Linked DNA regions of Saccharomyces cerevisiae S288C. Changing the gene in region 3 together with the main gene of any one other region gives a genetic interaction. Each region holds a gene or a part of one and is shown on either strand. Other genes may lie near its edges. The genes, in order: SPO73, YCL049C, DTR1 and HSP32.

Region 1 (7,540 bases), on a different chromosome or scaffold from region 3:
TGGGCTATGTCGAAATTTGAACTGGAAAGAAAACTAAAAGACGTTTGCAATAAGATTCTAAACGATAAAAAGGTCCCTTCCAAGGAACGTATTGCAAAGGCAAAAGCAATGCTGTTTATTGCCCACAAGTTTGCCAGTGCTAGAAGGTCACCAGAAGAAGCTGAAGAAGCTAGAGTTTTTGAAGAGCTAATCCTAGGTGAGCAGGAGAAGGAACACAAAAAACATACTGTGGCCAGATAAGCTCAGCAAGTTAATAACGCCTCATGTATATTTTTCATATATAGCGCAATCAATTACAAAGCGAAGAAAAAAAACCCTATGTATTCTAGACATATCACAGGCATACGGGTTTTCTCACACCAACCTTTCAAGTCTTCAGCACTTATGTTTTAACTTATTTTCTATTATTCAGTATATATATGGAATTAACACTGGCAACCCAAGCATCTTAGCCGAGATTCGCGGAGAAAATTGAAATCAAGAATAATAAAAATTCTTGATTCACGGTCATAAGAGGCTGAAGCAACAGCAACCGGCTCCCCAAGAACTACAATACGCGTCCGATATACTTTCTTATCAAATATATTGGTAATAATAAAGGCTGCAGTTCTTTTTTTAATATAGTCTTTTTACATTTATTGCAGCTAACAAACGCAATTTTTCTTTCCCTTTCACTCGTGCGGTTTTACCAGGATTGATTATATCGCACTGTGACACTATGGATTCACAAAGAAGCCATCATATTTTAACGAGATTAACCAAGATACGGAGAAGACCTCAACAACCGTTAACCGACTTTACAGAACTTTACAGTAGAATTGCCAATGAGACAATATATTACTTGAACCTAGAAGAGAAAAAACGATATAAAGAAGCATTGCAAGGATGGAAAGCGCTTACCACTGATGTACTATTCAAACAGACATTGATAGAGCATAACTACCCAAATACTCAATCATACACGAAAGATGAAGTTAGTTTACAGAACGGTATTCGAGAATTGTACCACAAGAGCGTTATGCATTTGAAAAGAGTCAAAAAATTGGTCCGAGAAGAGCCTGCTCCCAGGAATGATATGCCGTCATCCAAAACATACACTAATCATAGCTCATCTTTCACAAGGTCTACTGAACCACCTCCTGTATTCCAAATGGTTCCCGGAAGAATGATGAAAACATTAAGAAATAGAAATGCATGCGGCTATAAAACCGCATACTCCAACCCCTCACTATCATCATATGGTAACAGCACATCGATAAAACGCGGAGAAGATGCGGAGAACATTAGAGTAAATTTTGTACCTTCTAAGCCTTTATCCAACAATGCAAGCAGACAGCACAAGAACCCTATTGAGCACAATGATCCTCCACTTAAGAAGGAAACTGAACTGTACTCAGATAAATATATCTCAGAGCCAATATTGATAGATTTGACTAATGACGAGGATGATCACGATGTCGGCATTTTAAAAGGACACAACGTTTTTGATGAAGAAGAAAGTGATGGTTTCGAGTTTGATGTGTCCGATTACTATGATAATTTCTCCGAAGTCGACGTAGAAGAAGAAGAAGAAGAAAAAGAGGAAAGACGACGTATAAAAACGTTAGAAGCAATTCAACAGCAAATGTCTGACTTGTCTGTTACTTCTTCTACGTCCAGTAATAAGAGTGTAAGTTCTTCAGAAAATGTTCCCGGATCATGCATACAGTCCCTGCCGACTACCGCCCCTGCTCTTCCTTCATTACCTCCACCTCCTTTATTAAATGTCGATAGAGCGTCCAGCACTGGCGCTCTAAAGCCACATAGTTTAGAAACTTCTACTACTATGGATTCATCAAAGATTAGGAATCCTCAAATATCAAAATTAATGAAGAATAATCACGTACCATACTTAAAGGGTACCAAATCAACGCCCACTCTTATCACTAAATCAACGCCAACATTTATTACAAGATCAAAAAGTAATACAAAACCAATCATCAAATCCAATGCATCGTCTCCGACCTCTTCTCTGACTGTTCCAAATTCAGTAATTCAAAAACCCAAAACGGCTGCAATGGCTGCTAAGAGAGTTCTGAACAGCAAAAAGGTTGCGAGTAACCCCGCATTAAACACTACGAAGAAGAGTCACCCCATTTTGAAATCCAAAACGGCGAAAGTCCCAAATTCCAGTTCGAAGAAAACGAGTAGCCATCCTTCCAGACCTGTAAGTAACTCAAAACCATACTCGCATGGTGCATCCCAGAATAAGAAGCCATCGAAAAATCAAACCACGTCTATGAGTAAAACGAATCGAAAAATACCAGCACAAAAAAAAATCGGTTCTCCAAAAATAGAAGATGTTGGAACAGAAGATGCCACTGAACATGCCACTTCCCTAAATGAGCAAAGAGAAGAGCCTGAAATAGACAAGAAAGTCCTGAGGGAGATTTTAGAAGATGAAATTATTGATAGTTTACAAGGTGTAGATAGGCAAGCTGCAAAGCAAATTTTTGCCGAAATCGTAGTGCACGGAGATGAAGTTCATTGGGATGATATTGCTGGTTTAGAAAGTGCAAAATATTCTTTGAAGGAAGCAGTTGTCTATCCGTTTTTGAGACCAGACTTATTCAGGGGGTTACGTGAACCAGTCAGGGGGATGCTCTTATTTGGACCACCAGGTACAGGTAAAACAATGCTAGCGAGAGCTGTAGCTACAGAGTCGCACTCCACCTTTTTCTCTATTAGTGCTTCCAGTTTGACATCTAAATACTTGGGTGAAAGTGAAAAATTAGTGAGGGCACTATTTGCAATTGCCAAAAAATTGTCACCTTCTATAATATTTGTTGATGAAATTGACTCTATCATGGGTAGTAGGAATAACGAAAATGAAAATGAGTCAAGCCGAAGGATAAAGAATGAATTTCTTGTTCAGTGGTCATCCTTGTCCAGCGCAGCGGCTGGTTCAAACAAAAGTAACACTAACAATTCTGACACCAATGGCGACGAAGATGATACAAGGGTACTGGTACTTGCCGCGACAAACTTACCATGGTCTATTGATGAGGCTGCAAGGAGAAGATTTGTGAGAAGACAATATATCCCATTACCAGAGGACCAGACCAGACACGTTCAATTTAAGAAGCTTCTTTCCCATCAAAAGCACACGTTAACCGAATCAGATTTTGATGAACTGGTAAAGATTACTGAGGGCTATTCAGGAAGTGATATAACGTCTTTAGCGAAGGATGCTGCCATGGGCCCACTACGAGATCTGGGTGATAAGTTATTAGAAACAGAGAGGGAGATGATAAGACCCATAGGCCTTGTGGATTTTAAGAACAGTTTAGTGTATATCAAGCCCTCTGTATCCCAGGACGGATTAGTGAAGTACGAAAAGTGGGCTTCACAATTCGGATCATCAGGTTCATGATGATGATAATAATAATAATAATATAATAATAATGGTAATAATAAATAATATTCTAGCCTAGCTGGACAAACTGTGTGCACATAAGCGGATCGATAAAATATGTTCTGCATAATGTCACCTTTTCTTTTTTTTTTTTTTTTTTTTCTTTTTTTTGACTACTTAGTTTGTTAAACAATTTAATATTAGCGTAAACTATTACTAATCTAATCCATGACTGGTCGTAGGTAGTCTTACCCAGACCCTTCTTCTCACCAAGCCATTTTTCGATTTCCACCTAGAGTTATTGAAATTCCAGCTATAACACCATCCTTGATCGTCAATATCGTACTTTTCCTTGTAATCCATCAGTACGAACCACTTTGTCATCTGTGAACTGCTACTGCCTGCAGTGCGTTCAGTACTCAGATCGATAGGATACAGTTCTATGAAGTTCGATATAGTATTTTTCGACAGGGCAATTAACGAGCCATTTTCAGTGTTTAGTCTTTGAAATTGTGGTGGGTCAACGTGAGGCAGTAAAATCTTGGGAGAAAATAGTGGGTAACCAAGTAAAGTTATGCCTCTCTCGTTTTCTATGAGTACGTCCTCCGGTAAAGCAGAGAAATCCTTCAAGAAATGGTTTTTGCCCATATATCTCTATGTATGATTGTATTTTAACGATGAAAGAAACCTTGTTACGATTGCAAAGTCTTCAATTTCCTGGAAAATAGTAGCCTTTTGGTCCCACGAGCCCAATTACGTAGACAAGATTCAATCGCTTTGTTTAAGCGGAGATAAACTTTCACAAAAAAGATAATGCACACAAGCCAGATTTTCATTAAACACTGTAGAAGGTGAAAATGTCGCGTGACAGTATATGTAAAGGCATATAATAAGGTTTCAAAAGCAGAAAGCGCAAAATATCAAGGTGCAAATTATTGCTTCCTTTGGTTCCATCAGCCTCTTTCTGTACGTAAAAAACAACATTTGCATGTACATGTTTTCTAAGTTAATCTGCGACCCAACCCGAATAGCTCTCTTTTACCCTTATTTTCAACCGTCAGCCCCTCTTATTGGTTGGAACGCCTCAATATCAGAGGTCAAAGTCAAGATATCTTGTTATCATCGGTGTTAGTGCCCAAATTGCCAATTGAACGCCTCTATCAAACTGAGGAACAAACCAGCGCTCGCAAAGGAAAACGCGTTTTCTTTTGGCTGCTTTTCTTTCGAAGTGCAGGAACGAGCAGTATTTGGTTGCCATTGTGCGGCACACCCAAGCACACAACGATGCGCTAGGCCAATTGATTCATTACCGTTGGTGTTTCAGGTATTCGTGCTCATCAACGTGACTATTCAGCAACTGAATTAAACTGCTCTTAATAACTTATGTGCACCGTAAGCCAGTCAGTGCTAATGAAGGAATCAATCAGGAGTCGTACAGTGCGTAGGCACACTTTTTTTCCGCAGCTGTTTACTAAGGGTTGTGTAACGTCTGGGTGTGGAGGGGCAATTACCGTAAAGATGCTCTCGAAATTACAATACTACGGTACTTTTCCCCACGGAAAGTTGTATCTCGGAGTTAAAAAGGGAGTGGCACGAGATTCATACAATGGCGTGCAGGCAAAATGATTACTACCGAAATCGAAGCAAGATGATGTTCAACCTTAGGACATCGAAGCTGTACCTCTGCATGAAGTAAGCAGAACAAGGCAAAGTTTAGTTTTTCAATGCTCGCTTCTGCTGGCACTGTTAGTTTGCAGCACATGAGTAGCAGTGGCGCGATTATATCCCCGTTGGGCCATCAAAGCGCAGCTTTTTGTGGTATCAGATAAAATAGTGGTACGCTAAGGCTCTGCGTGAGGAGTTAAGCAATATGCCAAGTATTACTTTGTAGACTTAATTTTAAAATGCTCTTAATTTTAATTTCTATTTTTCTATTTTCTATTTTCTATTTTCTATTTTACTTTTTTTCTTTTTCTGGCTTTTTTTAGTAGTGATATATAATTAGTTTTTCATCTGAAAGATATTTAGGGCACCATTTTCTTTTGTTCTTAGATGCAGATATTCTTTGGCGATTTACCCTGGTGGTACAGAAGATTATGTTACATAATTCATCAATTTTTTTTATGTTAGTTCATCTTCAAAATCTGCTTTAACTGGTTATTATTAAAATATAGTAAATCTAGATCTCTCAATCTGAGTGCTTACCGACTAAAAGCGCAGAAACTGTATTCTTATTATTTTTTTTTTTTCACGGCAGCTAATTGTACTGAGTTATATTAATAGTACTGGAATAACACCAGGTAACGACTAAGGAACCAAATAAAGTATGGACTATAAGCATAATTTTGCTACAAGTCCAGATTCTTTCCTAGATGGAAGGCAGAACCCACTCTTATATACAGATTTTCTATCTTCAAACAAGGAGCTTATATACAAACAACCATCGGGTCCTGGTCTTGTGGATTCTGCCTACAATTTTCATCACCAAAACAGTTTGCATGACCGTAGCGTGCAAGAAAACCTGGGTCCAATGTTTCAACCCTTTGGCGTCGACATCAGCCATCTTCCCATTACCAACCCTCCCATTTTTCAAAGTTCTTTACCAGCGTTTGATCAGCCCGTGTACAAAAGACGCATATCTATCTCCAATGGTCAGATTAGTCAATTAGGCGAAGACTTAGAAACGGTTGAAAATCTTTACAACTGTCAGCCTCCGATCCTATCGTCTAAGGCGCAACAGAATCCCAATCCTCAACAGGTGGCAAATCCAAGCGCAGCCATATACCCAAGCTTTAGCTCGAACGAATTGCAAAACGTGCCACAACCACACGAACAAGCTACAGTCATACCCGAAGCTGCACCTCAAACAGGTAGCAAGAATATCTACGCTGCAATGACCCCGTATGATAGCAATATAAAGCTTAACATACCCGCAGTAGCAGCCACTTGTGACATTCCTTCTGCCACGCCTTCTATCCCATCTGGCGATTCCACAATGAATCAGGCTTACATCAACATGCAACTCCGATTACAAGCTCAAATGCAAACTAAGGCATGGAAAAACGCTCAATTGAATGTGCATCCATGTACTCCAGCCTCTAATTCTTCCGTTTCCTCTTCTTCTTCCTGCCAAAACATTAATGATCATAATATCGAAAATCAATCCGTCCATTCTTCAATTTCCCATGGCGTTAATCACCACACTGTTAATAATTCCTGCCAAAATGCCGAGTTGAATATTTCAAGCAGCCTTCCATACGAATCGAAATGCCCTGATGTCAATTTAACACATGCCAACTCAAAACCACAATACAAGGATGCCACTTCTGCACTGAAAAACAATATTAATAGTGAGAAAGACGTACATACCGCGCCCTTCTCCTCTATGCACACTACAGCAACCTTCCAAATAAAGCAGGAAGCTAGACCCCAAAAAATAGAGAACAATACTGCAGGCTTGAAAGACGGTGCTAAAGCTTGGAAGCGTGCAAGGCTACTAGAACGAAACAGAATTGCCGCTTCCAAGTGTCGACAGAGAAAGAAAATGTCACAATTACAACTTCAAAGGGAATTTGACCAAATAAGCAAAGAAAACACAATGATGAAGAAAAAAATTGAAAATTACGAAAAATTGGTTCAAAAAATGAAGAAAATTTCGAGGTTGCACATGCAAGAATGCACAATTAATGGTGGTAATAATAGTTATCAAAGCCTTCAAAACAAGGATAGTGATGTTAACGGGTTTCTGAAAATGATTGAAGAAATGATACGCAGCTCCAGTCTATATGATGAATAAAAGTATTGCGCATACTTCTTATGGGAGATCCAAATTCCCAGTACATTAGTTTGACTCTCCTTCCTTAATGTTTTCCTCTGTACGATTATTTATGTTTAAACGATTTATTTTACTATGTATGTATTTCCTTTCATTTTCTTTCGGAGTCATATATATTGCTGGGCGGCTAAATGTTTCCGACTTGTAAAAGAAAACATAACAAACATCTTGTAGTTGTGAAACAGTTTCATTAAATAATCTTTTAGAAGAGTAAGGACATGAGTAGAGGCAAACTGGAAGATATGGAACAAAAGGAAACATCGGAAGTTGACTGGATAATCGTACGTGAAATTGTCACATCCTTAACCTAT
Region 2 (8,256 bases), on a different chromosome or scaffold from region 3:
TCCTCCAATTACAACGTATTCCACCAATATCGACATCACTTTCATCACTTGCATCCACAAAGAATACACCTACTTCGAGTTTCTCATCTTTCACTCTTGCAATTGTAAATTCTTCACCCTGTTTCAACAGACGATATTCAACAATTTGGATTTGTGTGGGCTCCACTGATATATCATATGTAAAATCTTCTGGATTCCATGACAGATTCAAATCTACTTCGGGAGGCAAGTACTGCTCTATGTCAAACTTCTCACTGTGAAATGAATTGTAGACTGGGTTAGTAATAAACCTTTCCGGCACATCCGAAGAATTTGAGTAAACTGAAAAGCCAGCACTCAGTTCATTTTCTATAACGCTTAAACTTCTAGCCAAGTCCGCTCTGGGCCTCCAAGTGATTCTCGTAAAGGATTTATCCAAGCTTCCAGTCCTCTCTAATAGCCACCTTTGTTGTAAAACCACACCAGAACCTCCACGAACAGTCAAATGAGTGTCATTTTGGCGCATATGATTACCGATATCCTCAGGGGCATTGTAGAGTACAGTCACTCTATGTCTTGTCACCATTACTCAGCTAGAAACGCACACTTCTTGCGTTTATTCTCCTCCCGATTTGATTATGATTAGCGTTTCCATTATTTGATCTTTTTTATCAGGGGGATCTTCAAAGAAAGGAACTTTTTTTAGGAAAAAAAAAATAATCATCTTTTATTACATGTGTAATACTTCAAGCAATCATAAACAAGAGTTAAGAAGGCAAAGTTCTGCTGTTAGTGTGTCCTCCAATACTCTTGCACGACAAAGTTTTAGTTATCCCCTTCTACGTGTATTGTTCCTCCGTGGTCGATTGTGTTCAAAGATTGGGAGCTCTTTTCGTGTTTTGCACTAAGAGCATACTGTTAATCCGCAAAGGCCACTAAAACTTACCTGCATTTGTCTACTTAAAGATACATTCCAACTATTTACATTCATTTTTATTTCTAAAAGAGCATTCTGAACCCTCGGCAATTATTTCATACTCCTTCTCAGAATAGGAAAATGCCCAATACGCATACTCAACATGTGCAAATATCAGAGCCAAATCCTGTAAATACTTTGTCTACACCATCCAAAAGAGGTCACCGCCATCGCAGATCGCTAGCAATATCAGGAGATTTTGATTTTTTGAAACAGCCTGCAGCAATTGTGAATTTACCACCTCCACAGGCGGCTGAAAATTGTCCTTCAACTGCCCCAACTGCTGTATCAAGTACATTATCGCCAATACGCTACAATAGATTTCCTTGCAAAACCAATGAAGACGCTGGAACGTTAGATTTGCCTGAACCAAGATTTTATCCGTTATCACCAAAGAACAATCTGCAAACACCAAGTCCACGATTTTTCATTAGTGAAGAGCCAAGTTTTTCATCGCCAGTTAAAGGCGTCCCAGATGCCATTATTAACCTTGACGATGCGTTGAAGACAAGGCCTAGGTCATTTAAATCACATAGAAGATCTGAATCCGCTCCTCCTGATTTGGAGGTTATGGTAGATAAGGGCAATTGTGCAGCCGGTTCTAACTCTATGATTAAAGAAGAAGAGGACTCCTTAATTGAACCAGAATCGAAAAATGAATATTATGAGCAAAAGCTTCCAACAGCACTATTATCCCCACTGCGGCCTTCCCTTTGTGTATCTGAACAGGCCATTGATGTAGATGATTCAGCTCTCAATGGGTCACCGACCCATCACAACCATGGGATGCAAAACGCCAATGCACGGAATTCCAACACATTCAATTCGTTGAAGATCAAAGGCCAAAAGCAAAGATATTATCATTATACGAAGCAGCTACCTTTGACCGTAGGCTGTGACTCGCAATCTCCAAAAGAACAAAGGTCGGCTGCTTCAATGACAATCAATCAGGCAATGACACCTTCTTCCCTGGCCTATACCCCTTCTAAACTAGCATCTACTCCCGCAACACCAGTATCCTTTTATGACAGCAATGCGGACATTAACTTAGAAAGTGATAATTTTCCACTAAAAGATAACCCTAGATATGCCAAGGATGGTTATCCTAAAAAGTGCGGCAATTCACAGCTTAATCGTGTGCTGGATAGCGATAAAAGACAGGATTTTAGTGGAGAATCGAGAAGAAGAAGATCGGGCAGTCCTATCTCCCACATGCAACACCGCAACCTGATTGATAATATGAAAGGTAGACGAAACAGTAACACGATAAACTCAATCTTCAACTACAAGAGTCAACATTATGAAATGCCATATGATGATATGATGAAAAATGAAAACATTAATGCACAGTCCATGCCCTTTTCAGTCAACGGTGTCAACAATGAAAATAGTATCGGAGGGGTTATTACGAGAGCGGACGATGCACCCCTTCAACACTCTGTGGTCAAATCCTGTACGCCTGATGGCAAGGAAGAAATGAATAGGCTTAAAAGTAATGACAGTAATGAATATTCCAAGTCTGAAGGGCAGATCAGAACCAATTCGCAACTAAGTAAGGACATTCTCATGGGTGAACCAGGTGATATGGTTGATCTGTCCTCTTTTGTCAACGCGCAGAGAAAAGCCTCAAATGAAACTGGTGACTTAGTCTTTAGTTTATCCCAGGATGATGACGCACTGAAAACGTTCCATGCGAGCAACAGCGCAGCAACAAGCAATGAAAGCTGGTGTATTAGCGATGATGCGTTAGGAAAGCAGGCGCAGGACAGTGAAGTTAGGAGGAAAAGAAAATCCAAATTAGGACTCTTTAGACATATTTTTTCAAGGAAGTAATACAACAATATTAATAATAAGTAATAAAAAGGTGAATCGTAACCTTAACGGCATTGATTGCATGTAGTTTTAATAATAAAGTGTAGAATAATAAATATAAAATTTCAAAGTCATCAGAAATAAAAATTGAATAGACATATACATATAGAAATTACTTCTATCATTTAAATACATATATATACATACATGTATACGTGTATACTTGTACTTGTGAAGGACTCAATAGTTGTATTCGTTTGGTTTTTGACCAGAAGTGTTTGGGAAACCACATTCCAATAAGATATCGTTAATCAATTCAGGTTTTTCAGTAATCTTGGAGAAAACTTCATCATTTTTGGTTAAGATCATACCACAATAACCTGTGGAGTTGAAACCTATCTTCATTTCATCAGAAAAGGCCTTCGAGCGTGGAACGACACAGATCCATTCCTTGGTTAACATAAGATTGTAGGATTTCTTTAGTTCTGGATTTTCGTTCAACCAGTCCTGGAAAAAGGTCAAAGCTCTTTGCAATATGGAGATGTAACACATAGCTAATAGGTCTTCATCAACAGTTTCTTCAGACTCCGGCATTGGCAAGACAAAATGAGCGAACGAGACTTTAGCATCTTGCAAAGGTTCAGTATTGAAAGTTGGTAGGAAATGTTCTTTACCATTACATAGTCTATCTTGGAAAGTGACGAACTTTTCAGGCATTTGCAGAATTTGCAAATGTTTGTGGTCCAATGAAGAACCACTGGCTGGACCAGAATTGTAAAAGACCATGTGTCTCTTGTCGGATTCTTCATTGTCCAAGGCACACAGCAACTTATAAGCAGTCAATAAATCGGTTGGGGTCAAGGCATCAGTTTGATGTTGGTATTCGTTAGTTACCAATAAAGTGTGTTCAGGGATTACAGGGAATTTGTTTAATAGCAATTTATACGCTTTGTTATCGGCACCACCAAATTCTGGGATAACCGTTAATTCTTCCTCAGGTTTGCCTAGTGGATCCTCTCCTTCTGGAGTTTGGCCACGCTCTGGCTTTTCGATCAGACTTGGCATGTGACTAATCAAGTATGGCATGCTGGTTTTTGGGTCCTTTGTTTTCGTTGTTTCAGTCTGGATAAATTTTAAGTTACCATTATCGAAGGCACTTTTGTACTTGTCACTAATTAAAGATGCAATGTCAGCGGGGATACTCATTTTTATTTTAATTTTTACTTTTCTGTTTGTTCTAAAATCTATCTAAACTGGCTTTCAAGATCAATCTATTGTCTTTTAAGGTAAACTTTAAATTGGAAATAATAGTAATGTTAGTTCCTTCATTTTAACCTTGTATTGTATTTCCTTTGCGTGATGAAAAAAAAACTGAAAAAGAGAAAAATAAGAAAATCTTCTAGAACGTTCCGAAACAGGACACTTAGCACACAAATACAGAATAGGAAAGTAAAAGGCAATATATGAATGCAGTGCTTGTAACTGGTGCTTGTATCCAAGAATAGCTTCTTGCTGTAGGTTATGGGAATATCGTGTAAGCTGGGGTGACTTTTGAGCTATTCGCGACGCCCGACGCCGTAATAACTACTTTCGACAGACCACTTATGACAGTATTTCAGGCCGCTCTTATAAAATGACATGTTAACAAACAGTTCTGATTATTCGCCTTTTGACAGGACGATAATGTAAATAGTTGTGGTAGTATCATTCAGGTATGTAACTGTTTACTTTGTATCGCTTGAAAAAAATAAGCATTTCAGAGCCTTCTTTGGAGCTCAAGTGGATTGAGGCCACAGCAAGACCGGCCAGTTTGAATGCTCAACTCTTCAAAAGAAATTCCTCAAATATGTCCAGTTTCATGTACTGTCCGGTGTGATTTATTATTTTTTATTTACTTTGTAGTTCTTAAAGCTAAGATTTTTTTCTTTGATAAATTCTTGTTTTCATATCCTAAAATTAAAGGGAAAATAAACAATACATAACAAAACATATAAAAACCAACACAATAAAAAAAAGGATCAAATACTCATTAAAGTAACTTACACGGGGGCTAAAAACGGAGTTTGATGAATATTCACAAGATAAAAATCATATGTATGTTTCTGATATATCGATATACAATCAAACACTTTCAAGAATTTGTTTGTAGACTTTTTGCTAGAGACCTCATCAAAGTGCTACCAACTAAGATCAACTTATACTTCTTTTAGAGAAAATTTTTTTCAATGTACTCCAAAGAGATTTAGATCCTGTCTCTTCCTCTTCCTCTTCCTCGAAAGTCAAAGAAAAATCAGAGTCTCCCTGCTTATTCAGGCGGAGAGGCTCTAGGGTAGTTGCGTTTCTCTCATTGGGACACTGAACCTCATTTTCCAACATTTTGGTCATGTAAGAGGCGACAGGCTCATCGCAGGTGGGTGCATCAACATGGTAGTACCTGGACCAAGCGCTACATTGAGTCCCTCCTGGATAAACACCGCTACAATATTGTCTTTGGACGTTTGCCCAAACCATATCTTTTGAATACCAAAGCTGGACCACATTGTATGGCCTAATCATTGGTGCTACCATAATACTGGATTGGGAAACAGTCTGGTTAATTTTTTTCAACCAATTTTTCTTATCTAGCAATGATTTAATAAACCTGAAATCTAAATTGTCTTCGTTAGCGTCTGTGTCATAATCTACAATTGAGTACTGTGACGTCCAATTATATGGCACCGAGATGGGGAATCTGTCCGGTGTTTCGTCGCTGTTATCCTTCTCCTCCCTCCAAATGCAGTCAGAGGCAGGTGCCCATTCGGTTCGCCAGTCTCCGTTATTTACTACTTGGTACTGTTCCCAATCGTAATACGTTTCCTCTGGGTTGAAGATACTTGCTCTGCTCTTGACATTGCCCATAGCCACACCACGAGAAACATCGTGGAAGATTACGGAGCTGTTTACGATAGCAGGAGCAATGGATTTGACGAATGACACTTGATAAAAGTCTTTGGTCGAAAATACAGTATCAACGCCGTCGTGGGACTCGACCCCTGGTAGAAGAAGCAGAGCATCTAGATCAACGGTAGATGCTGCAGAGGTCAAAGCCACAAAGAGGGAAGATGCAGTTACGAGGTATTTACTAAACATTGGTTCGAAGTGATTACAGATTTTTCTCTCTTGAACCCTGGAATTGCAATAGCTTGGTTCCTATTGGGACCGGACCCTCTTGCGTAAAGTATATATTTAGAAGCAGCTATTTAAATCTGAATGCAAGACGAAAAAAAGCTCGTTTATAGGAGAAAAATACCAAAAAAAGGAAAACCATACACATTCGGGTATCCCAGCTTTGCTTGCAAAATCAATCGATGAGCAAGACAAACAGGGCCAGCTGATGCATATGTTTTGTGTTGCTTTCCTACGATCAGCTAATGCGAGTGTTATAAATATTCCCCTAGTTTTCTTCTCCTCCTTTATGTAACAATAACTTGTGGACTTCCCCAACATAAGACTAAAAGCAAAGGGATAACAAGGGATTTATCTTATTCCATCCCTTTGCCTAGCGCACTGTTACGCAGCTGATCTTATCAACAAGTGTGGTTCTTGCCTCTAAGATTTACATTGCCTTTTCCCAAAGGGAAGGTGGGACAAAACTCATTTTCCCTAAGGGGAAACGTAAGATACCCTTTAGGGAAGATAAGGGAAGTTAGTAGATTGACGACGTAAATCTGTGATGAGATGAAAAAAAAAGATTAGCATCTATATAAGAAAGTACATAACCTCCATTTAAGTTGAAAAAAATTTGTATGTAATGTCTTTTCTTCCTCTTTTCTTTATTTCATTCTCACCGCTAAATCGATAACGGCTAAAACAATTAAAGCTCCCTTTTCAAACCTTATACTTCCGTTAAATAATGCAAATCAAAAACATTGTCGCTGTTCTAGCTACAGTCACTGCTATCAACGCCCAAGTTGGCATTGAACCTAACGCCACTACTCCAAATGCTACGCAGCCAAATGCTACGCAGCCAAATACTACTCTTCCTACCGCTTCGGTGACTACGACAGTTTCGATTGGCGAAGCCGTAGTTAATACCATGGCGGCGGGTGCCTTTGGAGCAGCAATCGCTGCCGGTGTTGCCTTCTTATTCTAGGAACATTTTTATTTCCTTTATTTTTTTCTTTCTTTCTAATTCCATAACCGTTGTTCAAAATTGGGGAGCTTTTTAACTTTCGTTCCATTAAGCTTTTTCTTTGTTCTTTACGTTTGATTCTATTTCAACCATAATTTATTTTTTCGTTATTTAATAATTACTAATATTTAATACTAGATGTATATACGTTGTGTGTATGCGCTACTATAGTATAGCTTAACTGTTTTATTATACCCTTTTTTTCTCTCTTTACTGTACAGAAGATGCGTCACTAATTCAAAAAAAAAAAAAAAAAAAAAAATATAAAAAAGAAAGATTTTGGAGAAGCTATATCCTTTTGTGACATACAATAGAGAAACTTGTTCTGTTGGTAAGATATCTCATCTGAAATACAACAAGGAAAACCAAAAGCCATTTTTTCATTACTTGATCGACTTATGAACCGTATTACTAGGAAAAGTTGTTTATTCGCGATTATATTTGCATCATTATTTGTGACACATGCATTGGGTGCCGCTATTGATCCGCCAAGGCGACCACATAATGTGAAGCCTTTTCATAACGGTAATCTCGAACTTCAAAGAAGAGCAAATGAACCGTTTTTTGAAATAGATGTCAAGAGTCTGAACACAAACTCACCGATATCAGAGTTGTGTAAAAAAGATTTGCACGTCATTGAATCGTCTCATGATCTTTTTCATTTACAAAACCAATGTGAATTCATCTTGGGGTCATTAAAAGTCACAAACTATGATTCTAACATTTTGGATTTGAACAGCTTGAGGGCCATTGGTGGTGACCTGATTATTCAGGATTCACCTGAACTGATCAGAATCCAAGCCGGGAACTTGAATAAAATCGAAGGGCTCTTCCAATTACAGGGACTAACCTCTTTGGTTTCTGTTGAAATTCCAACTTTGAAATTTTGTCAGTCACTGGAGTGGAAAGTTGTTCCCATCTTGAACTACGTCTCCATGGATTCTCAGAATATTGAGATTATAAAGGATATTGTCATATCGGATACTTCATTAGCAAACATCGAGAATTTCAACAAGGTTCAGGAAATTGATACTTTCAATATCAATAATAACAGATTTTTAGAAACTATTCATTCGAACGTTAAAACCATTAGGGGACAATTCAGTGTACATGCGAACGCTAAGGAGCTAGAACTTGAAATGCCACACTTGAGAGAAGTGGAAAACATAACGATTAGGGACACATCATTGGTCTACCTTCCACAATTAACAAAAGTGAAAAGCTCTTTAGAGTTCATCGAAAATTACTTTTACGAATTGAACCTGAACAATTTGCAGAAGATTGGTGGAACATTAGGAATTATCAACAATGTAAATTT
Region 3 (8,996 bases):
GAGGATAGGACATTTCCTGAGAGAGGTACTCATACTTTCAAAGTTAAGGAGGACTTATGGAATGAATTCCTCTCTTCAATTAACGAAAAGTAAAATATATAGATAAAAATCACTGCATAGGGAAAAAAACTTTAAATTTTAGGTATACTGAAGACAACAAAAAATACATAACTTAAAATAAAGGGGCATTGATCCAATGTTGTATAAATACATAGGAAAGTGGTTTGAAAATTGTGTGACATCATACGACTAATTCATCAAACTTAGTGAAAAATTCTGCAATTGCCTTGGTAGCCCACGAGTTGTTGTCTTTATCTAGGTAAGCTAAATGACCACCTAAATCGGTTCTACAATACAAAATACGAGGATTCTTTTCCACGATTGAGTATGGTTGATCTGGGCCGACAACAGGATCATCCCTGGAATTGATAACAAGGGTAGGAACCCGAATTGTATCAACTCTGTTTATTGAGCTGGCCGCTTTATAATACTCCATAGCATTTGGGAAGCCTAAAGCAGGCGCAGTGTACACTTCATCAAATTCCCGGGTCGATTTAAAGCTCTTTGCCTTTATTAGATTTTCAGGCGTGAACATATAGAAAGATGGATTCTTGACTGTGGGAGGATGATCGGGGAGAGAGCCATTTGGAACTCCTAATTCACCCATATTAACCTGAACGGTTCTTGTTAAGAATTGCGCAATATTTTTGGAAAATAAAGTTCTTGACCACCAATCCTGGCTCATCCTAATTGCTGAAAGGAGAAGATCCCAAGGATTGCACAAAGTAGCAGCTGCGGATAAAGGTGATTTATCGCCCTCTTCTCCCAGATAGTTTGCCAGCATCGTAGCACCAAAAGAGCATCCCACAGCGTATAGTTTTCTATCTGGATGTCTTTGCTTTTCTCTTTGCAAAAACTCGCGAATATCCATTGTGTGATAAGCTGTAAATAAATTTCTGGTGGTAATTTTGGAACGTGCACAACCTCTGGTATTTAGGACGACCACTTGAAATCTCCCACTGCGAGACAGGTTTTCAGCAAGAGATCTTATAATCGGCTCATGACTACCACCAGCAAGACCATGTAGAATAACTACTAGGGGTAGATCAACCTCCCGTAGTTCTTCCAACTCATTATCTTTCAGGTACCTTGTACGTGGTTGTAAACGAGGCCATCCTTCTGGATGTGTCGCCTTCTCGTCTTTATCAAATTTTTTTTTATCAAAGCTCGTAGTACTTTGATCGAATTCATAATCCTTTTTCCATGAATCTATGAGCCAGTCAGCGGTGCAAACTCCACCATCCGAGAATTTGACAATTTCCCTGCCGTAGAATACAGGAAATTTCTTAGAGAAATCAGCAGCACCTAAGTACAAAGTTTGCAAAATACCTGTGAACAAGTAAGGACTCAATTTGAATTGGGCACCATTCTTCAACGTTGGGACATATTTGTTAGCGAACTCGTCAAAATCAACTTGCTCCTTGTTGTCTTTTAAATGGAGTTTAATGGAACCATTTTCACCGACAATATGCGAAACTGTACCATTGTATCCCCAATGGAATGGGTTGATTGCTGGCCATTTGGAAACTTCTGACATATCGGAAACTTTTATGAGCTTTGTTTTTTACGCAACTACTATCAATGTAATAATAGAACTTAAAAAACTGCTCATATTAATAATAAACGGAGGAAATACTCGAGGAGCTATTACTTCCAGGGACATCCGATATCTGACGCCTTTTAAAATCTGCACATGCGCAAGATTTAAAAAAAAAAAAGGATCTCGGAACCGGAACGAGATTGCTCATTTTTCGTTCCGTTTCCGCAGGTTTTGCAAATCATTAAGCAGATACACAAGGGTCCTTTTAATGTTTATGTAATTTCGTGCAAAGTGAAAAAAAAAATGGACCTGCTTGGAATAAAATAATAAGTAACATTATGTATATTGATTTGAAAAGACCTCATATATTTACAAGAATATCTAATCGATGTCTAAATTTATTTCTTCCACCATCAATTTTTGAGCCACGGTTCCTTCGTATAGAGATTGGAAGAATTTGATTGACAACAAGTTACTTTCTTTTTTGTTTTCCAATTCTTTCTTAGTGATTTGTTTTTTATCCATAATTATTTCACACGACCTTAGAATTTCACGTGTAGGTACACGCAAAACATCACGTACTTCATTTGAGGTTCTTTGAGCGTTAAGATGAATGTAATCCAGTTCTTGCAACTTTCTTTTGTATTTAATGGAAAGATTCATTGGTAAGGCACGGGGGAGGTCATGAATTAAATACGTAAGTCCCAACAAGGAACCTACCACTATAACCGGAACTGATAACTTCTTGAGTGAGCTCCACGACGATAATTTAATGCCGTTTAATATAATGTTCCCCACAACCTTTGTACTTCCTAGAAAGTACAGCGTTAGAGTGGGAATTTTTGATGTGAAGAGCAATGATGGTCTTGACCAATATTGTGTCAAAGGATAATTTTTCAAACCCAAATACTTCATTAGGCCAATCTGACCCTCGTTAGTTTGTCCTTCTATATCCGGCAGTGGTGCTGTGACAGGTTTCTGCCAGCTTAAGTAAGACAAAAAGCCTTTCCAAGTTGGAGCAAACAAATCAGTTATTGACAAAGATACTTTAAGCCTTTTTCCTATCAAATGCTTCCTTTTTCTAAACATTAGTTCGCTTCTGAAAACACGTTCACACATGAAATCATCACCAAGTTCATTTTTTCCAATCTCATAAATTTTTTTTACCAGTAAATCTGTCTTTTGCTTGGCAAATAATTCACTTGATCCTATTGACTCATCAATCTGATTTGCTATGAACGCTTCTGTTGAAAATATGAAGTCATAAATTTGACCGAGGCCCTGATATTTCGGATATTCGTGTAGCGGAACATCCAACGCATTGAGAAGTGCTTCTTTAGTATTGTTATAAGTCATTGTAATTGTTTGCTCGGCCATTTGATCAACGGAAGTTGTTAAATCATTGCACTTTGCTCTAGCGCTCAAAATTTCAGGTCTCAATGTTTCCAGTTGTTCGTTAATTTTTATTTCTTCTTCACTATACATTTTCATATTAGATTTGGAGATCATTATTATATCGCTTAATAATTTCGATAGATAAGTCTTGGCAGGTAACAATTTAGAAAGTGATCTTTTCTTCAAAACAAAATTGCGTAGAGAATCTTCCAGACTGTCAAAATCCGGATCGGGATCGCTGCTAGAATATGGGTCGTCGTCAGGTTTTCGGTCACCATGATCTTCATTGTCATTTTCATTATGATAATGTGGCAATTCATCTCCGTTTTTGGAAACAAAGTGGACAAAATCAGCTGCACGTTTATATGTTTCTGGGGACAGGTCACGGATTTGCTTTAGGATCAACTCCTTACAACGTTGTTTGTCCCTGATTTTGTCAAATTTTTTCACAACAAAAAACATTAATTTTTTCTCACGAGATGCTAAAGAAATAAACTCCTTGGCAGATAGTGTTAGCTGGTTCTCTGCATTGACAACAAATATAACTAAGTCGATTTCTTCTTGTCGGGACATTACTTCGGCGGTTTGTAACGAGTCCATGTTCAACCCAGGGGAGTCAATTAATGAAATATCAACAGTACCATTCCTTAATAGACTAGTAGAGGCAGGCCTTTTATCGTCCTTTATGTAAATCTTCAGTAAAGCATATTTTCCGTTTTGGGGAACCAAATCGGGAAGTTCTTTCAAAGTGTGTATTTCATAAGTCTTGGGATTTTGTATTGAATACATATCAATGGCTTCCTTGAGAGTCGGAGCAATGTTTAGTGGTATGGCATGAACCTCCTCTATGCCGTCATTTTCCCGAGCCTCTAGTATTTCGGAAAATACATTGGTACATGGTAGCTGATCCTCAGGTAGCAAACGCTGCTTTAATAGAGAGTTGCAAAGAGCTGATTTACCAGTATTTACATCACCTGTGATGAATACTTTAGATGAAACGTCATCCACTCTTTTTTTCAAAGCGTTTAAATGATTTGTCACTGATACGATCTGAGAGTGAAATAATTTTGATAAAGCTTTTTTCTCAATGTTGAAACCGTTCTTTTCTTTGGTATTGTACTGACCATCTAGCTTGATATTCAGTTGTAGAACATGTAATTTTTCCCGTTCATCATTTGCAGCAATAAAAATCGGGCGAATATTATTTTCTTCTTGAAGTTGATCCATAAAAGCTTGTGTCTTTAATATAGATCTTTTTAAAAGTACTCTATTGTTGTTATAATTCCACTGGCTAAGTTGTGAAGAAATTAAGTGTGCTTTTGAGTTGGAGGAACGCAATGAGGGCAACAAATCATCCTCCCTACGCCCCTCTTCACCATCAAACAAAGTGGTACGGTCATCAGTTACTCCATGGAAATTACTGCCTAAAAAATGACCTTCGTTGCGTGAGTAAGTAAGAGTTTGTGGTACTATTGTGGCGGCATCATCGTCCTGATCTGTGGAGTCCTTGTGCGGTTTATTGCTGTCTTTGAATTGTTGTTTTCCTTCAGACATCGTTAAATGAGCCTACCGTTTTGCCTCTATCCGTGATATCAGATAATGTTGCTATGTTCGGATGTACTTTGCTTTATTTATTAAGGGCTACTGTAACCTGCGTTATCCTGTTTCAATAATGCATCGTCCGTCTTAATTAATATTAGCCCGGCCATATTCTTCAGCATGAAAAGCTGTATTTACCCGGACTGCGCACCAACTTTTAAATATTAATCTCCGTTCGGTCTTTGCGCGAGTTATTATACTAGCGCCACGTATTAGTAATACTATAGCTATCTTGCCAGATAAGGGATCACAAGGAATTATATACCGTGGATCACAACTATCCATATCACTCTTCCCAATTTCGCGGAGAAATACTTATGCAGGTTTCCAAATCATTTCCGTAGCCAAAGCTGCCTGTTGGCCACTGTTTTGGCATCTCTCTACATTTTTTTTTTTCATTGATACTTTCAACCCAGACATTCTGTCACCTGGTGAAAAACGACACAAACTCCTTTGTAACAACAATTGCAATTTTAAGATATATGAGAATATTGATAAGGCTAGAAGGATGGTAGTAAGAAAAGTTGTTGTTGGTAATTTTTCAAAAAAGAGTTTCAAGAGCTGGGAAAAGAATTAAGGCAATGGGAAGCGAACCGTTTCAGAAAAAGAATTTGGGTCTGCAAATTAATTCGCAAGAAAGTGGAACAACCCGCTCAACATTTCATTCGCTAGAAGATCTAGGAGATGATGTAATTAATGAAAGCTGGGATCAGGTGAACCAAAAGAGAGCCAATATAGATCATGATGTCTTTCATGAGCACCCTGACTCTTCCCCATCATTGTCAGCACAGAAAGCAAAAACAAAAGAAGAGGAAGTTGCTGTAAAGTCATCGAACTCCCAGTCAAGAGACCCTTCTCCTGATACTCAAGCACATATTCCATATACTTATTTTTCCAAGGATCAAAGACTAATCATTTTTGGAATTATCATTTTTATAGGATTTTTGGGCCCAATGTCTGGAAACATATATATACCGGCTTTACCATTGCTGCAAAGGGAATATGATGTAAGTGCAACAACAATAAACGCTACAGTTTCTGTATTTATGGCTGTTTTTTCCGTTGGTCCATTGTTTTGGGGCGCACTGGCGGATTTTGGTGGAAGGAAATTCTTATATATGGTGTCGTTATCACTAATGTTAATTGTTAATATACTTTTGGCCGCTGTACCAGTCAATATTGCTGCCCTTTTTGTTTTAAGAATTTTCCAAGCTTTCGCTTCCAGCTCTGTGATTTCTCTGGGAGCTGGCACTGTAACAGACGTTGTTCCTCCAAAACACAGGGGAAAGGCCATAGCGTATTTCATGATGGGTCCAAACATGGGTCCTATTATAGCACCCATTGTTGCTGGGCTTATTTTAATGAAAGGAAATTACTGGAGATGGCTTTTTGGTTTCACTTCTATCATGACAGGAATAGCATTGATCTTGGTTACTGCTTTACTTCCAGAAACGCTACGTTGTATAGTTGGTAATGGAGACCCTAAATGGGGTGACAAAAAAGATGAACGTGAAAATAACGAATCTCCATTCTTCGAAGGTAATAAAATATCACATCGGCGTCTGTTCCCAGACATTGGTATCCGTAAACCAGTCAATAATGATGCTTTCTTCCAAGAAAATTTTCCAAAGCCGCCTAAAGCAGGTTTGACACTATATTGGAAAATGATTAAATGTCCTCCAATAATAATCACGTCCGTCAGTACTGCACTCCTGTTCTCCAGTTACTATGCGTTCAGCGTCACGTTTTCGTATTACCTTGAACATGACTACCGTTTTACTATGTTAGAAATTGGTGCTGCTTATGTCTGCCCAGGTGTAGCTATGTTACTAGGATCTCAATCTGGTGGGCACCTCTCAGATTATCTTCGTTCACGCTGGATCAAAAGTCATCCTAAAAAGAAATTCCCGGCAGAGTTTCGTTTATTACTGAACCTAATTGGAATTTTACTAACAATATGTGGCACAATAGGATACGGATGGGCAATCTTCTTTCATTATCATTTTGTGGTTCTTTTAGTTTTTTCCGCTCTCACTGCCTTTGGTATGACCTGGTGCAGCAACACATCAATGACATATTTAACTGAGTTATTCCCCAAAAGAGCTGCTGGAACTGTTGCTGTTAGTAGTTTCTTTCGAAATGTGGGCGCTGCCATTAGTTCCGCTATCATTTTACAGCTCTGTAACGCAATGGGAATTGGATGGTGTTTTACAGGGCTCGGTCTCTGCAGTTCAATTTCATTGATTGGTATATTATATCTTCTCATTTTTCAAAGAAAATATACTGCCAAAGAATTTTAAGAAATAGTTTATGTTTAGCTATAAAATTTAACTTTTAGAATTTTATTATATTATTTAACTTTCAAGAAAATTTTCTCATCACTCATCCCAAGGACTTCAAGAAATAGAACAATGCATCATAAGTTTATGAATTACGTGCATTTGGACCTTCAAAGAATAAAATCGAAGTTATAGTTAATTATATTAAATTAAGCCAAAAGTACATATATCTAAAAGGAAAAAGTATAAAAATTATGCAGGTCCAAGACATACTTAAGCCTTCAAAGAAGAAGCTCTTCTCTTTCTGATTTCGGCCTTTTCAGCCTTTCTTTCAGACAATCTCTTAGCCAACAATTGAGCGTATTCGGCAGCAGCTTCTCTTTGAGCTTGAGCGTTTCTGACCTTCAAAGCTCTTTGGTGTCTCTTTCTTTGCAATCTTTGAGGAGTAACCAATCTTTGGATCTTTGGAGCCTTGGTGTAAGTCTTTTCACCCTTGGTGACTTCTCTTCTGATGACGAAATCACGAACGTCATCTTCCTTGGACAAACCGAAGAACTTTCTGATGTTGTTAGCTCTCTTTGGACCCAATCTCTTTGGAACAGTAGTGTCAGTTAGACCTTCCAATTCTTGTTCACCCTTCTTGACAATGACCAAAGCCAAGACAGCCAAATCTGGACCAACAATGGCACCTCTGACGGACTTTCTCTTTCTTTCACCATCACGTCTTGGTCTGTAACAAGAAACGTTCTTGGTCAACAACAACTTGATTCTAGTTGGCAACAAAACACCTTGCTTCATTGGGAAACCTTGTTTGTCGTTACCACCAGAGATCTTGAAGACGTAGCCCTTGAATTCATCACCAACGGCTTCACCATCGACTTCTTGACCGATTCTCTTGTCGAAGAAAACACGAATACGGTGTTCATCATCAATTTCGAAGGTCTTTTGAGACCCGTTGACTGGGTAAGAAATGTTCAACTGTTATAAATAATACCATTTGTTAGTAAAGTTGTCCGAAGCCAATATCGACAAATTCCAACGAATCCCTGCTGTCCTTTCTTCCGTTACAGGTTTTTCTTATTTTCATTGATATTTCTAAACCCTTTTCGTAAATTCCTTTTTCATTCCTTAATTTGAACTTAGCGAGATATTTTCCTAAGTGTCGGTACGTGTATATTAGAGGGAATTATCTCGTTTAAACAACGTTGTTCTTGAGAATTTTTATTATAGTGCACTAATTTGTGGGTATACGTTTATCAAACAGTCAGAAACAGCCGGTTAGCGCGTGCTGATTCATTAGAATTCTAAGGATTTGGGTGATATTACATACCTTCATGATGGCTCAGTCGTCTATTCACACTGGATAGTTTCAATTAATGACTTCCAAATGTTTTGAAGGGCACACTATTCAAATTAAGATCACTTTTCATAAAGATGAATTTTTCTCCCATCAGGCATTCATTGACCGTGCCCTACAAACCAAGCCAGCCGAGATTGTATCAGCTCCACGCACATAGGATTTTCGCCTGCCCTTGGCCCATACCGAAAGAGTTTCCTAGGATGATGGGCCGGCATGAAGATAAGCGGCCTGTATGCCCGAGACACTGAAAAAAAACAGCAAAAAAATAAGATGTATGGAGTTCAAAGATGTATGGATGCAAGAAAAGAGGTTAATGGTGCAAACTGTAGAAAAAAAAGTAAGGAAATAATTTATTTTTAATAAAATTAACTGAAAAGATACATGTATATTTTTCTCAAATTAATCAATGCAATATGTGATATATTTGCTATCTGGCTTAATGAGATAATTTTTTACATAATTATGTTGAGAAGTTAACAGGGCAGTCTCTATTGTTTTGATCGATTGAGTGCACAAAAATTGGAAGGGGGCCGTGGAGCACTACCTGCAAATTGCTAGAAATTTGCGTCACTACATCTGAAAAATGTACGAGCGACATAATTGTCTATAGCCCTAATTTAGAAGACGTTTGCCTAAATGCGCCAACATACACTCTTAATTTTAAGCGAATGCTTTCTTGTAGTAAAAAGTAGCTAGAAAGCGATTCATTAATCTGGAGAGTTTGTCGAACTCGTGGATTTCAAAGTTGAACTAGCTACCGAGG
Region 4 (7,813 bases), on a different chromosome or scaffold from region 3:
GCCATTGTGGGACAGTATGAAGGGTATGATTTCTAGATAATCCAATAATAATTATGAAGTTTTTGAGATTTGGGGTGATACACATCTATGAATTACTAAGAGATTTGAGACACAGCGACAGTCATGCCAGCAAGATTTAAGATTTTCTTTATTTAGTGTTTATATACATATCAGATATCTGTTGAGTATTTTCTATTTTACCAAAAAAAAAAGATATGAAATCAAGATAAAACGTCGTATGAAAGACAAGGGAGCTCAGCAGCAATATCATAAAGTAAAGCAACAGCGCTTGGTTCATGTACAATGAACGATCTGAAAATTATTTGGCAGCGGTGCTACGAATACATGTCGATATTACGTTACGATTGTCTAACAGGGGAGGAGAATCGTGCACTTTGATGGGTATATCGAAAAGATGGTGACTCTGCTAGAGTCACTGTCAGTGAGGAGTTGCGATGTATGAAAGATTCACTGACATAAAGTGGCGCGATTCATGTAGCAGTGTAAATCACTTTTGACGCAATGATGGAAGAGATACGGAAGAGATACGGAAAAAATAAAACAAAAAACAACTGAAATAAGTACTAAAGGATTATATTTATTGCCGCCATTATTATTTAGCGTCTGGTGGCTCAAGAATCTGCAGTTATTTAATTATTTAATCGAGCGTGTAATGCTCTGATGATTTTCAATCCGGTCATATCAAATCACAAGTTGAGCCATTATATTCATGTTTTTTGTACATTCACCACGTTCTGCATATTAGGTACTGAAACACGTCAGGCTATAACGGCGCTTTCCACCTACACTCCGGCCTTCGTTACTGCTCCGACCGTTCTCTGGTCTAATTGTTCATCCTGCATGCTAATGGGGATTATGCAATCTTTAAATGCTTACACTTGGATGAAAGATCACCAAGTCTTGTTTTTAGGTGTAACTACTGGGTACTGTGGTGCCCTGTCTTCCTTTTCTAGTATGCTGCTAGAGATGTTCGAACACTCTACAAACTTAACTAACGGTAATATCGCTAACCACACAAAACTGCCGAACAGAGCTTACGGTATAATGGAGTTTTTATCTGTCTTGCTCGTTCATCTTATGGTTTCCATGGGTAGTCTTATTTTCGGTAGGCAACTTGGTAAGGAGGTTATTGTTGCTTATGGATCTAGTTCGTTTTCGAAGCCATATACCCCTCCCTCAGACACTGTAAAGGAAAATGCTGGTGATGTTGATACACAAGAAATGGAAAAAAATATTCTAGAGTTTAAATTCAAAACTCCAGCACCATTTTTTAAGAAATTTTTTGATGTTGTGGATAAACTCGCGTACGCACTAGCTTTTCCATTAATTATTTTGTTTGTGGTGCTGTGTGCGTATTATGAGAACTATTCGAGGGGCAAGTGGACACTACCATGTCTATTTGGAATTTTCGCTGGTTTCCTAAGATATTGGTTGGCAGAAATGTTTAATAAAACAAACAAAAAGTTTCCATTGGGTACTTTCTTGGCAAACGTTTTCGCCACTTTATTGATTGGCATATTTACCATGGTGCAACGTGGTAAAAAACACTTTTCCACGGATATTCCAATTGTGAACTCGTTGAATTCATGCCATATTGTTTCTGCGTTAATATCCGGATTTTGCGGCACTTTGAGTACCATTAGCACGTTTATCAATGAAGGGTATAAGCTATCATTTATTAACATGCTTATTTATTATACTGTTTCGATTGGAATTTCATATTGCTTATTGGTGATAACTCTCGGATCCTATGCTTGGACTAGAGGATTGACTAACCCGATTTGTTAGGATCTTTTCTTCATACCTTTTCCTGCACAATCATCCCACCTTTTTTTTTTTTTAATTCATTTTCAAGATTTTAGACGTTGTATAATACATTTTTACCGACTACTGCGGTTTATTGTAATATTTTGTGAGATTTTATGAATGCGTTCCATCATCTATTTACTACAAAACGATAAATTTCCCCGTTTTCTTTTACTTTTACTTCATTTAATATAATTCATATTTATTTCCTATGTACCAATTAATTACTTCTAAAAAGAACAGAAATAGAAAAAAGTTGTATATAACAAGCCAAAAAAAAGAAAAAAAAAGGAAAAAAAAGAAAACACAGCTTATTTCAAATTGCAATCTGCGTATTTCGTAAGTAACGAATGATCTCACAGCATTGCTTTTTTTTTTTTTATATATATATGTACATTACCTATGTCACATATGACCATGATGAGTACAACACTAAAAACCAAGGCCTACTATTCAATTGTTCTCTATATGATTTCCATTCTAGCAAAATCGAGTGCTACCGACCTGCCGTTTTCTTTACCTTTCGAACCATTGAGCTGTTAGCCTTCTCTTCACAGAAACTGAAAGCCATTAGAAGCCTCCCCTTCAACAATTCCCTTGTCTTTTGTTTCAGCTATATAATGCGTTTATAGCTCTAATTGTGGTCGAATAGGAAGAATTTGCGTTAACACCCGTAACTAGCTTTCCATCTGTAATAGAGTAGTCATCCCAGGGATGGATTGGCGCCAAGTACTTGGCTCCATTCTTGTTTGCAACGCGTTCAACCGTTGTCAATTTTCTGCTCCTCAAGATGTCGTCAACTCCCAGGGCGATTTCACCCTCGAGTGGGAAACCTGTTATAGCTTTGCCTTCGATTAATGGTCTTGTTGTTTTGATATCTATTAATCCATCGAAAAGGAGCGGTCCATGACAGATGGCAGCGATCACACCCCCATTGGCATATATCTTGGATGCAATATCTTGCAGATTTTTAGCTTTGGGATAGTCAAATAGAGCACCATGTCCAGCAGATGCAAAGAATATTTTATAGTCGCTGGCGTTGACTTCATTTGCGGTCTTGATCCTCGCTAACGCCTTATTGAAGGCGGAATTTTTCGTTTCAAAGTTCATCTTATCTTCGCCACCAATAAAGCTCTTTGGCAAGTAATGTTCATCCCAGCCAAATCCACCAGTCTCAGAAACGAAGTCCACTTCGAAACCATGCTTTTCGAAAGTATCGAACGACCGCAAAATCTCAACTACAAAAACGCCTGTTTTCGCACCATCTTTATAGAAGGGACCGTGGTATGAAGTAAGAGATATTAGCGCTCTTTTTGGAGTCATTGCAAGGCCAGTTTTCTTTTTGAATGAAGGAGAAAAGTGTTCTAGAAATATGTTTTAGTTCTAAGTATCGTTGTCTGGAGCAAGCAAAGAAAAGCAGACCTGTATGTGCAACTTTCCTCTTTTCCATTAAAATCTCAAGAACCGGCCCCTTGACTGTGCTCATATATCAAGTATCGGTTTTAAAGTCCCCTAATTGTGATAATTGCAAGAACAACAGTCAAAAAGATATTTTTCTTTTCTTTCTTTTTACCTATCCTTCATGAAAATACCTATGCTGATACTGAATATCTTCATTTGCAGCTATGCAATATTTCAGATACCCCATTTTACCCAAGAGTTTCTTACTGGTGGTTGGATTTTCTTTAAGACGAGAAGATTACCAGTCCTGGATGTTCGTGAATGTGCCTATTGCGTCATCAGCGACTCCGCGCCAAGAAAAGAAATACTCGCATGCTCGGATTTATAGAATCGCATAATGGAAATACCTTCCTTAAAGGATGGAGATAAGGAAAAAATGACAAGAACAAGGAAGTACTTGGGAGCTTTCTCCGACATGGTAAATATTTGAAACTCACGCAGCTCTCCTGGAAAGTTGGATCTGGAAAGGTAAGGTTGTTTTTTTTACAGACATCAACCAAAATCGGTTCTTGTAGTAGACAATGTCACAGATCGCCACAAGTTGAAAAAAAAGTTTCGATGAACTGGATAAGGGGAGAGGTCACAAACAAAGTGTAGGGGGTGAGTAGTATAGTGGTAACTTGTTCATTTACCTAAATAACATTCTCACTAGAAAAGAGATATTGAAAGACTCCTCGTTTACCTAACTTGGCTGGTTCTTAGGTATATAATAGAAACATGGATCTGGCAGGTTATCACTTACAGTTTGCACTCCCACCAGGTTACAATTTTCATTATATATAGTTATTTTTTACCACCACTTCTTCTTCTTTCACTTTGTCTTGCAATAGAAATACCAAAACAAGGTGAGGAAAAAATCGAATCTCAACGATAAAAATATGTCCATCACGAAGGTACATGCTAGAACGGTGTATGATTCTCGCGGCAATCCGACTGTTGAGGTTGAAATTACAACAGAGAATGGTCTCTTCAGAGCGATCGTCCCATCTGGTGCCTCCACCGGCATTCACGAAGCTGTTGAACTTAGAGACGGGAACAAGTCCGAATGGATGGGAAAAGGGGTGACCAAGGCAGTCAGTAACGTCAATAGTATCATAGGGCCTGCTTTAATCAAGTCCGAATTATGTGTAACCAATCAGAAGGGCATAGACGAGCTCATGATATCGTTAGACGGAACTTCTAACAAGTCAAGGTTGGGCGCCAATGCTATCCTTGGTGTTTCCTTGTGCGTTGCTCGAGCTGCTGCCGCACAAAAGGGAATTACTCTCTACAAGTATATAGCCGAGTTAGCGGATGCTAGACAGGACCCCTTTGTTATTCCTGTTCCTTTTTTCAATGTTTTGAATGGTGGAGCCCACGCCGGTGGCTCTTTAGCTATGCAAGAATTCAAGATCGCGCCAGTCGGGGCTCAGAGCTTTGCAGAAGCCATGAGGATGGGTTCGGAAGTTTACCATCATTTGAAGATATTGGCGAAGGAGCAATATGGACCTTCCGCTGGAAATGTTGGTGACGAGGGTGGAGTTGCCCCCGATATTGACACTGCCGAAGACGCCTTGGACATGATTGTGGAAGCCATTAACATATGCGGTTACGAGGGTAGAGTGAAAGTAGGAATCGATAGTGCTCCTTCTGTTTTTTATAAGGACGGGAAATACGACCTAAATTTCAAGGAACCGAACTCTGACCCATCTCACTGGCTCAGTCCAGCCCAGTTAGCAGAATATTACCATTCATTGCTAAAGAAATACCCAATCATTTCCCTGGAAGATCCCTACGCCGAAGATGATTGGTCCTCGTGGTCTGCCTTCCTAAAGACTGTCAATGTTCAGATTATTGCAGATGACCTGACATGCACCAACAAGACCAGGATCGCCCGTGCTATAGAGGAGAAATGTGCGAATACTCTGTTGCTGAAACTCAACCAGATCGGTACTCTGACTGAGTCTATTGAAGCCGCCAATCAGGCTTTCGATGCTGGATGGGGTGTAATGATATCGCATAGATCAGGTGAAACCGAAGATCCGTTTATCGCTGATTTGGTCGTTGGTTTAAGATGTGGTCAAATTAAATCGGGCGCTTTGTCGAGATCAGAAAGACTGGCCAAGTATAATGAACTTTTGCGTATCGAAGAGGAACTGGGGGACGATTGTATATATGCTGGTCATAGGTTTCATGATGGAAACAAACTATAAAGGATTGTCTTGTTTCCTTTTTTTTTTTTTTTTTTTTTGTTTTTTTATGACTAAATAAAGTAAATCATATGAGGTTTTATTTTTTATTTCGTTGATTTGGGTTACAGTATGGAAATGGGGCATTTGACACAAGTTATTTTATTCATATGTTTTATCTTGTAGGAAATCAAACCGTTTTTAAAGTTTTCCATTGCCTACACACAAAATCATTACGAATCTGTCTGAACAAGGGTGGACGTGTGGGGGAAGGCTGTTCCAATCAAGAAATGCTTACAACTCTACTAACACTGCAGTTTTTCAGCTTTCTGATTAATCTCTTCGGTTTAAATTTTTTAGCAGCTATTACTTTCTAGTAACCCTTATAACGCGGTTGGTATCAAATCTTCCTGATAGTACAAGCAGACCTTTGACCCCATTCTTGTTGTGTCTTGAAATCTTTTTTTCTGACAAAAGTAAGAAGTTACACCATAATAGAGAAGTTAAATAATGAAAGTGTATCGATCATAGAAATGATTTTATTTTTTTCAACTACTGTTACGGTCAAGAAACTAATACTGAGGATAAGTTTTCGCAACAATGATTTTGGTACAAGTGATTTAAAGTCTTGAATTACTTCAACACAATTTGCTTTGCGACGGTTTAGAATAACGTAATCGTATCAACGAATCCACTAGGCGCGCGTAAAAATTACAGACTCTAACAATATACGACTCCCAGCACATACCTACTATTCTGTACAATTCCGGGAAATAGGAGGGTACAGTATTATTTTTTCTCGGCGATCGTTTAGGGTATACTGGAGATAGGCTTAGCAATACGCTTCTGAACGAGGATCTATAGCAACTAAATTCAGACATTCTGCTATACCAAAAAAGGAAGTATCACAGGCACGGAAAAGGGTTTTATAAGGCACCTCGGCACCCCTATAACTGGCATTCTCACATTCGGCGCATACGAATAGACAAAGGCCCCAGAAAACAATACCTTCGCATACAGAATCTATAAAGATGCATGCCTCGTTTAAAAACAAAAACATCTTCATAGTGATCATGAAGTTGTGGGAAAGATGAGATATGGAGAATATGTGAAGTGCTAAAGGAGCATCTGTTAACGAATCGTTTAAGTGGTGATGACCAATGAAGGAATAGGTATAAATAGAGATACTTCAACTATATGCCTTCGAGAATATGTCTTTATTCATTTCTTTCCTGTTAAGCTTATATCAGCACTAACAAACAAAACAAATACAATGGTCAAATTAACTTCAATCGCTGCTGGTGTTGCCGCTATCGCTGCCGGTGTTGCCGCTGCTCCAGCCACTACCACTCTATCTCCATCTGACGAAAGAGTCAACTTGGTCGAATTGGGTGTTTACGTCTCCGATATCAGAGCTCATTTGGCTCAATACTACTTGTTTCAAGCAGCTCATCCAACAGAGACCTACCCAGTTGAGATTGCTGAAGCTGTTTTCAACTATGGTGACTTCACCACCATGTTGACTGGTATTCCAGCTGAACAAGTCACCAGAGTCATCACTGGTGTCCCATGGTACTCTACCAGATTGAGACCGGCTATCTCCAGTGCTCTATCTAAGGACGGTATCTACACTGCTATTCCAAAATAGAGAGAAGCTTTTACGAACGAAATTCCATAGACATTAAAAAGTAAAGAAAATGAAATAAAATATGTTATTCTATTGATATAAATACAATTTCTCATATGTAAATGTATATTAATATGACAACTCATTTTTGATCAATAACAGTGTTTGTGGAGTATTTTCTCAATACAATAAACCCAAAATAGAAACTTCTCTTTTGCGTCACTGTTCTGGAAAAGGGTGCATGGTAATAAAGCTAATAGGGTATGTCCAATAAGCAATACTGAACTTGGAAATGTGCGGCTTCGCAGCCTTTTGTCTTTCTATAAAAATGTGTCCTTCCTTTTTTTCATTTTTTGGCGCGTCGCCTCGGGGTCGTTTATAGAATATGCGTCACTTTTAAAAATAAGATTGCAGATCAGGGCAAAACAAGTAGCAAGTCATAGCAAGAGACCCTGATTTTTGTGACATAAATATTATTATTTCTTTGTTAGGTTAGTTTTTTATGTAACTGTAACTGGAATAGAGTTGAGGGGATAGCGCCCACATGTGTGTGAGCCACTACCGTATTATTGCTCGGTGAATAAAGAGTGTCACAACAATGGGATGACATAATATTCTAATGTGAAGTCTGTGTAAGTACGAAATATTCTGAAGTGGCATCCGTTCAAGCAAATGGGAATATTAAGGAACTTTTACGTTAATGACGTCATGGTAGTGCTCGTACTTCAAG

Evidence for each region.
Region 1: of DTR1 (region 3) and SPO73, changing one suppresses a phenotype caused by changing the other (phenotypic suppression), as found in Saccharomyces cerevisiae (one study listed by BioGRID).
Region 2: mutations in DTR1 (region 3) and YCL049C together harm fitness more than expected from each alone (negative genetic interaction), as found in Saccharomyces cerevisiae (one large-scale study listed by BioGRID).
Region 4: mutations in DTR1 (region 3) and HSP32 together harm fitness more than expected from each alone (negative genetic interaction), as found in Saccharomyces cerevisiae (one large-scale study listed by BioGRID).

What each region holds. Positions count from the first base shown.
Region 1 is NC_001137.3:239,682-247,221, reverse strand, and holds SPO73 (Spo73p), read right to left. Parts: upstream 4,043-7,540; coding exon 3,611-4,042; downstream 1-3,610. Other genes in the region: CAJ1 (Caj1p), read left to right, coding at 1-240; putative AAA family ATPase SAP1, read left to right, coding at 719-3,412; ACA1 (Aca1p), read left to right, coding at 5,721-7,190; MEI4 (Mei4p), read left to right, coding at 7,448-7,510. UniProt on the Saccharomyces cerevisiae protein: Required for spore wall assembly and ascus formation. Involved in the formation and elongation of prospore membranes.
Region 2 is NC_001135.5:34,829-43,084, forward strand, and holds YCL049C (uncharacterized protein), read right to left. Parts: upstream 5,897-8,256; coding exon 4,958-5,896; downstream 1-4,957. Other genes in the region: PBN1 (Pbn1p), read right to left, coding at 1-565; LRE1 (Lre1p), read left to right, coding at 1,037-2,788; APA1 (bifunctional AP-4-A phosphorylase/ADP sulfurylase), read right to left, coding at 3,008-3,973; YCL048W-A (uncharacterized protein), read left to right, coding at 6,660-6,899; SPS22 (Sps22p), read left to right, coding at 7,337-8,256.
Region 3 is NC_001134.8:584,566-593,561, forward strand, and holds DTR1 (Dtr1p), read left to right. Parts: upstream 1-5,175; coding exon 5,176-6,894; downstream 6,895-8,996. Other genes in the region: ECM31 (3-methyl-2-oxobutanoate hydroxymethyltransferase), read left to right, coding at 1-93; EHT1 (medium-chain fatty acid ethyl ester synthase/esterase), read right to left, coding at 242-1,597; FZO1 (mitofusin), read right to left, coding at 1,982-4,549; 40S ribosomal protein eS6 RPS6B, read right to left, coding at 7,147-7,851, 8,204-8,209; SMP1 (Smp1p), read right to left, coding at 8,941-8,996. UniProt on the Saccharomyces cerevisiae protein: Prospore-specific dityrosine transporter responsible for translocation of dityrosine through the prospore membrane and required for the formation of the outermost layer of the spore.
Region 4 is NC_001148.4:7,224-15,036, reverse strand, and holds HSP32 (glutathione-independent methylglyoxalase family protein), read right to left. Parts: upstream 3,151-7,813; coding exon 2,437-3,150; downstream 1-2,436. Other genes in the region: FEX2 (fluoride transporter), read left to right, coding at 682-1,809; phosphopyruvate hydratase ERR2, read left to right, coding at 4,167-5,480; seripauperin PAU22, read left to right, coding at 6,610-7,104. UniProt on the Saccharomyces cerevisiae protein: Catalyzes the conversion of methylglyoxal (MG) to D-lactate in a single glutathione (GSH)-independent step. May play a role in detoxifying endogenously produced glyoxals. Involved in protection against reactive oxygen species (ROS).